Linked DNA regions of Bombyx mori. The protein of the gene in region 1 binds, or shares a complex with, the protein of each later gene. Links are inferred from orthologs where the notes say so. Each region holds a gene or a part of one and is shown on either strand. Other genes may lie near its edges.

What was found.
Region 2: the proteins of cell cycle checkpoint control protein RAD9A (region 1) and checkpoint protein HUS1 are in contact, whole or in part, in a crystal structure (PDB 3GGR), measured with the Homo sapiens proteins. The link is inferred for Bombyx mori from reciprocal best matches to the Homo sapiens genes RAD9A and HUS1. Residues at the interface, in NP_004575.1 of Homo sapiens: Leu157, Pro158, Pro161, Val176, Ala186, Lys191, Ala192, Met193, Val194, Thr195, Glu196, Met197, Cys198, Leu199, Gly200, Asp203; in NP_004498.1 of Homo sapiens: Thr84, Asn87, Arg90, Ala91, Lys93, Thr94, Phe110, Ser121, Ser123, Ser126, Arg127, Ile128, Val129, Thr130, His131, Asp132, Ile133, Pro134, Ile135.

The regions. Positions count from the first base shown.
Region 1 is NC_085122.1:9,591,749-9,595,268, reverse strand, and holds cell cycle checkpoint control protein RAD9A, read left to right. Parts: upstream 1-1,293; 5' UTR 1,294-1,634; coding exon 1,635-1,668; intron 1,669-1,743; coding exon 1,744-2,149; intron 2,150-2,221; coding exon 2,222-2,951; 3' UTR 2,952-3,020; downstream 3,021-3,520. UniProt on the Homo sapiens protein: Component of the 9-1-1 cell-cycle checkpoint response complex that plays a major role in DNA repair. The 9-1-1 complex is recruited to DNA lesion upon damage by the RAD17-replication factor C (RFC) clamp loader complex.
Region 2 is NC_085134.1:9,690,874-9,695,035, reverse strand, and holds the start of checkpoint protein HUS1, read right to left. Parts: upstream 2,801-4,162; 5' UTR 2,583-2,800; coding exon 2,531-2,582; intron 2,478-2,530; exon of another isoform or gene 2,464-2,477; coding exon 2,257-2,463; intron 954-2,256; coding exon 853-953; intron 1-852. UniProt on the Homo sapiens protein: Component of the 9-1-1 cell-cycle checkpoint response complex that plays a major role in DNA repair. The 9-1-1 complex is recruited to DNA lesion upon damage by the RAD17-replication factor C (RFC) clamp loader complex.

The DNA of each region.
Region 1 (3,520 bases):
TAAATACTTGCAGTACTGCGATAAGATTGAGCGAGTACTCACTTAGCGATAACTAACTGTAATTATGATTCGAAAGTCCTGCCTATTGCTATTGTGACCAGATAAATATTAAAAAACCCTCTTTTAAAATAATTTATATATACATGCATACCGTAATTTCACAATAGATTTTATATGATTATCATTCACCCTAATACACAATAAAAAAGAGGATGGTTTGTTTATTTCTACTTTGTATCTGTTGTTTAATATAACCATAGGGTAGTATAAAATAGGTAATTTATTATTAAACAATAATAAATAAATTAACATTTTCTCTTCCTCTTTATTGATTTTGTTACAATGGTACTAAATAAAAAAATGTGTGCGTGTACTAGTGTACACACGTAAGAAGTGAAACTTGTTTATGGCCTTATTTTTCGAAAAATGATCTACATGCAACTTTCTAGAAATTGGTTAAATAAAGTTAAATTAGATAAAGTTTAAACAAAAGGATTTTATTATCATAGACAATAGACATGAATACAAATAATACAATTATTTCACTTTACCTTTTTGCTACTAAGATTATTACAGCATTTTAATAATACATCTCTTTGATATCATAATACCCTGGTACTTTTCTTCCTATAAATTAATAATAATAGCACGGTCCACGTGGTGTTAAATGGGGTTCCTGAGGTTCGTGAAGTTTGACCCACCTTGAGACATGAGGTCGATTTCTCAAATCCGAAACCATGCTTCAGAACATACCGCCGTTAATTATTAATAAATCTCTTTGCTATCATAATACCCTGGTACTTTTCTTCCTATTATTTTACGTAATAACAGTAATAAATAGCACGGTCCACGTGATATTATTAAGTGGGCTCCCTGAGATTATTGGAATTACAAAATGATTTCCGTAATCCACCTGGAGACATGAGGTCAATTTCTCAAATCGGAATCCATACTTCAGAACATACAGCCGTTAATTAATAAAGAAGGCTGTACGTCAGAGTAAAGTTATAATAATACATCTCTTTGATATCATAATACCCTGGTACTTTTCTTCCTATTATTTTACGTAATAACAATAATAGCACGGTCCACGTGATATTAAGTGGGTTACCTGGGATTATTGCAATTACAAAATGTATTCCGTGACCCACCTTGAGACATGAGGTCGGTTTCTCAAATGCGCATCTATACTTCAGAACATACAGCCGTTAATTAAAAGATGGCGCGTAACGGAAAAAAGTGACGCGTAACCGAAAAACGTGACGGTAAATTTTTTTCCAACGCCGATAAGGAAGTTTCACTTCAAAAATATTTCTGTATAGTCAAACCATCAATAGTCAATCTATCAATATGTAGAATAGTTTATAAATATTTACAGTACAATTTTTAAAATAATCATGTGGATTAATTTTCTTTGGATCATTTGGATCATTAAATTGTCGTCGCATCACGAGAACTGTCAAATATCTGTCACTCGTATCATCCTAATAATACCTGGTATCTCAGTAGGTCAGGATCAGGAAATTAGACAAAAAATTATAGTGAAAACATAGGTAATCCTTATATTGATGTTAAAGCCTAGAAATGAATTTAAAGTAGATTTTAGTTAACTTTCTGAGGAAGTCAACATAACAATGAAGTGTCACGTTCCGGGGCCTAATGTTAAAGGTAATATAAAGTGTGTGTTATCAATACTGAAATTATGCTGGCTCGGAAACGAATATAATTTTTATATAATTTTAGTTTTAGCAAGAACAGTACATACCTTAGCTCGATTTGGAGATGAATTATACCTGGAGTCATTACCCGACTGTATATTATTGAGAACATTGAATGCAGCCGAATCCGCATATGCGATGATTAAATTTAACAAAAACTTCTTTTCTTATTTTAATTACAATTATTACTCGACTGAAGATAACGAAGGTCTGAAATGCAAAATATCGATGAAGTCTGCTTTAAACGCCTTTAAATCTCCAGCTCACATTGATAAACAGGTAGAAAGTTTGGAAATGAAATTAGATCCAGAATCTTGCAAGTTAATATTTTGTTTGAAATGCAAGCATGGTATAGTTAAGACACATTTTGTATCAATATTAGACTGTAAAGCGATGCAGGCTGTGTACACTAAAGATACAGTACCAAACAGGTAAAAATTGTAACCAAAATAAAATATTAATTTATTTTTATCACTGTTAGATTGTAATGAAATATTTTTCAGAATTACTTCACCTCAAAGAATACTAAACGAAACACTGAACAGCTTCCAAACCTCTGACGACCAAGTGACATTAGAGGCCACAACTAAGTCACTGGTAATAAAAAATTATATTGATAGTAATATGGATCTGACAAAAATAATTCGAACACATGTAAGCTTAGATCCTGCTGAATTTGACAACTACATCATAGGAGAGGAAACCACTATAACATTTACATTAAAAGAGTTCAGAGCCCTACTTGCGTTTGCTGAAGCATTAAATTTGCCGTTGCAACTTCATTTTGAGACTACAGGTCGTCCAGCTGTATTCATAGTCCATAATGGAACTACTTTTGAAGCACATTTTGTGTTAGCAACATCTAAACCAGACAATGCAACACAAGCAACATCAACACAGAGCACTACCACAAAGGAAAGGAATAAAAGAAAAGATACATGTAATACTCAAGGCTCAGTAAAAAAGAAACGGCATATAGATGTTGAATTTTCTAAGTGCTTAGAAGAGGACTCTCATCTATTTAATTTTGTTGATATCCCTGATGATATAAATCTTAAAGCTAGTAATAATTTAGATAATGTTAAAGAACAAATAGACTTTGATAATGTTATTCCAGCATCTCCAACTTCAAGGACTAAGATAAAATCAGTATTTAAGAGATGTTTTGAAAGTACTTTTGATCCAAAAAGTATTCAAGGTGTCATTTTAGCTGAGAATTCAGACAGTGAATAAAAAAATAATGTTTTTAAAGTTGTTTGAAAGCAGATTAAAAAAAATTAAAATATTCCCAATTTTCATCAATATTATCTTATCTAATTTTCAGCAATATAATATGGTCTTATTACATTTGTTGGGAGACTCATAAACCACTTCAAAGATTATGGCTGATGTTTGGTTAATAATTTTGATTAGAGATCTCCCCACAAAATAATATGATTTATATTTTTTATGTTTTCTTAAAGGCATAAAAGGATTCAAATAAAATATAGAGTTCACTGCATTGATTTTATAGCAAAAAATATACATACAGAGAAACAGTATACACACATTACAAATCAACGATCATGATGTAGACCAAAATAGGGGTTCATCACTATGCATTTCTCACTATATATGTATTTATCTCGGTAACAATATGTATTGATTTTATATAAAGCGTATGTTTAAGACACCATCTCAACTCTTTGAAACAAGATACAAAACTCAAAAGCTTAATGATTTAAAAAAACCTACTTCATTGCTTTAAGGCAAAGTGAAATTGATACAATTTTTACAGAAAGTAGTTTTTATTTATTGAAAGT
Region 2 (4,162 bases), on another chromosome or scaffold:
TGAAGACTAACAAGATGCAAATAGCAATGCAGCGTTTTTTATGGCCTTTGTAAACAGACAGGCTTGTGGACACCTGATGGGGAGTAGTTGCCCTCATACATGAAGCAATGTCAGCAATGCCAGAGGCACAGCCAAGTTGCAACCGCTAAGTACTCTTTGTAAGCCTTGTTTGAAGAAGCACATGTCATAGCGCTAAGGAAAGGGGTGAGTTAATTGCAGAACCAGATGGTATGTGGAAAATATCTCTGCAAATGCACTGTGAATAAACACAACACTTTCAAATAGTATTGACAAATTTTAATCCAAAGGCGGGGGTGCGTTTGATTGTTTAAAAATCGAAATAAGCACTATACTGGAACTTGATACTTACAACATTAGTGTAGTCTTTGATTTCAATAAAAATGAATGCATGTTTTTTACACATTCTTACATTCTACATCTTATGAAACTTGCAATAGTATTTAGAATATAAATCAACTAGGTGGAAATCAATTAAGAATAGTACCGGCAGAGGGCGATTTAATTTCACTAGTTACTAAATAAATATTAATAGTGAACATTTCTAATGAGGGACCGCCTAATAACACTTGGATGGACTGCGTGAAAGAGCACATGTGAGAGAAGGGTGTGAGTGCAGAGATAACGTATGATAGGTCTGAATAGAGAAAGAGGACATGCTGACATGAATGAATAGGTCCTCTACACTACGGGATAAAGGCAACAATTAGAAGACTCAAGATTTCTAATGTGTTACATATTAACAAATCCGTGGGGCTTCATTTTATTAAGGTCATTCCTAGGTCTACATTAACCAAGTCATAAGTGAACAGGTGCTATTTATTAAAAGCATACCACTTCAATTTCCAATGTTAGGCACGGACACTGTTTCTTTGTTAACTTCATTTTTAATGATTTTACATTTTTCAAGGAGACAAAAGATCTTGCGAGATTACCTGAAAATTACAGTAAGTTGTATTACGGCATTTTACAATTTTGCTATCTGCCACAGCCATGCTCCTAGTATTACTGATATTCACGAATGATGATGGGCTTTAGAGGGGCCATGATTCTGTTTATTAGCAATAAAAAAGGAACACATTAAAATTCAACATTCCTTATAGTAATTTACTGCACAGTAACATGATTTTTTGTCTGTCTGTCTGTAATATTTATTTTTAAAGCATTGTTATTGATACTTTGCTATAGGGGTGGTTGTTACAGGAAAATCAAGGGTTTTTTGTGATTTGGCAAACTAAACTAAATGATGCATAATGAAATTGATGGATTGGTTACAAGAACTAACTATGATAACTTGGAAAACGATCTAACAGTCCTCAAGTATTCAATATAAATAAGTATCTAAGATACTGTTGATTATTTTACTTTAAGTACACTGGTGGTAGGACCTCTTGTGAGTCCGCACGGGTAGGTACCACCGCCCTGCCTATTTCTGCCGTGAAGCAGTAATGCGTTTCGGTTTGAAGGGCTGGCCAGCCGTTGTAACTATACTTGAGACCTTAGAAGTTATATCTCAAGGTGGGTGACGCATTTACATTGTGGATGTCTATGGGCTCCAGTAACCACTTAACTGGTCCACCCATCTAAGTAAAAAAAAAGTGCAACACATTGTCATAAAAAACGAACAGTTTCAGAACTGTTTATAAACTGCTAATTCCTACACACAAACACCAAAATCTTACAGATAACACCTAACACACACAACCTAACCATGCCAAACACTTAAATTACATTTGTGTTCAATTGTCTCTTATGTTTATTGTTATTTAATTTTCTCTATGTTGAACAGTGTATTAAACAAAGAATGCTAGGCAAAATATAAATACATGTGAAAAGAGGTTTAAGCTATTAATATTGCATGATTATCATTTAAAACATTTTGGAGTGCAAGTAAACAATGATTTCTAATATCTGATTATAACCCCTAAGGGTCTGGAAGTCTGGCATCTTAAGCATAAGCTTAAGGTCAGCTAGTCCTAAAATTTTTCCACTCTTTATATTTTAAATTTTTTTATTTTATATATTTCTAGACACCATGAAACTTTAAATGGTATTGGGAAAACAACAATTTATTATTTATTTAAGATGTACCTGAATGAAGATCACCACTTTTTTAAACTTAATGGCTATTAAGTTAATATCAATGATTATCAATATCTAAACATTTGATATTGGAAATATTCACCAAGAATAATTTATTTATTTTATCATAGCACTTTTTAATGGAAATTATAATACCCGAATTCAATCCTAAATAAATGTCTTGGTGAGTTTCATCCATTCCAACCAATTGATATTCAGAGAAAAATACACTTTGTGGTATTTCACACCATAGTACCGGAGGGGCTGGTCCAGTGTTTTCATCGCTGACAATGAAATACAACATATCGTCTGCTATCCTTAGGACACACTCCTTAGACAGTTTTGATATTGTACTAACAATAGCTGAAAACAAAATTCTGGTTACAATAATCAAAAACTAGTAAGCAACACCATTAAAGCGGAGTTTTACTTGAGAATTCGCGTATTGGAGAAGAGTTATTCATAACAGCACGGAATTTCATAGTGATATGTTTTTCGTCTTTTGAAAACAGTTGTTTAATTCGTGCAAAATGAGATGATGAATTGCACACTATTTTAAGATATATAATAATTAGTAACTAAACACAGTTTCGACATGTAATTTATGTTTTATTTTTCCAATACTGTGTTGTTTTCAAAACTTAGGCAGCGCGAAAATTGAGTGAGCATTGACAATATAGATTTGGCTAGTATTGCAACTGCACAAAAACTCTTATCAGTATTGAAATCGACTTAAAGTGCAAAGGTGATTTCATGATGCAAACATTTTGGTTCATTGAGAATAAGTAACGAAGGCTATCCAGCTGTAGTTTCTGTGAACTAATAATAATGAGATACCCCGATGAAACTGTTAAGAAAGCCGAGAAATAAGTAATGGCTTTGATCTTTGACAAGAATGCTCCTACAATATTCAATTTGTAATTTTAAACATTCTTGCTAAACGGTGTTTTAAATAACAGAGACTTTTAGCTAATTAAAGTTTTTCGGAATGTGTGCTTAAGGTATCTTACAGAGCCAATTGATTTAGTCCCTAAATGTAGAATGATGCTCGTAAGAAAATATTAGGATATTTCTACCGTTTTTGTTGATCATCTTCTGTTAAAGAAGAAAACTCTCGTTTACGCCAGTCTGAATCTGCTACATCTGTACGTATAGGATATACTACGTGAGCCGGAAGCACCTAAAAGAAAAGATCAGAGTATCTTTTCAGCGTGAGACGAAGTTTGATACAAAATTCGTTCTATTGTAAAGAATGTGTGTTAATATTGGCGATGATAAATATTTAATATGTAGGTATAGGTGCATACATTTACATGTAACTGTCTCTATCACAGAGTTTAGTAGTTTGGGTGTTAACAAAAAAGGTAAGATCTTACACCGAGCGGATAAAATTGCTCGGTAGACTAACGGTTCTAATGTTGTGGTTCGAAACTCGTATCTATGCAAATTTATCTTGAAAATGTTGTTAACAAGATTCAGCCTTTATTGCTTAGATGGATAGACGAGCTCACAGCCCACCTGGTGTTAAGTGGTTACTGGAGCCCAAGGACAACGTAAATGCACCCACCTTGAGATATAAGTTCTAAGATCCCAAGTATAGTTATAATGGCTGCCCCACAATACAAAACCGAAACGCATTACGATTTCACCGCAGAAAATAGGCAGGGTGGTGGTACCTACTTGTTATAATGTTATAATGTTCGCCGAAGCACGAGTCGATTGATTCTTTAAGACCATGCGGAAAAGATGCACATCCCTGATTCGCCGGGTCCGGGTCAGCCCTAACAGCATCCTGAAGGCATTAACAGACCATTATGACTGTCGGTACTTGAATCATTGTACCATGGGTCATTTGCGGACTAAATAATAATAATCGCGTTTTTAATAATGGTTGGTTCGAAGTAATTATCAGTTGAATAGAATATTTTAGATGTATTCAACTGATAATTATTTTTAATAAATGTATCTTTTGATGATTGAATGATGATGATTTGAACTTGATTTAGTCGAATCCATTCCTTTGCGATCTGGCAGCTTTGACCATAGAGTACAAACGTCACTG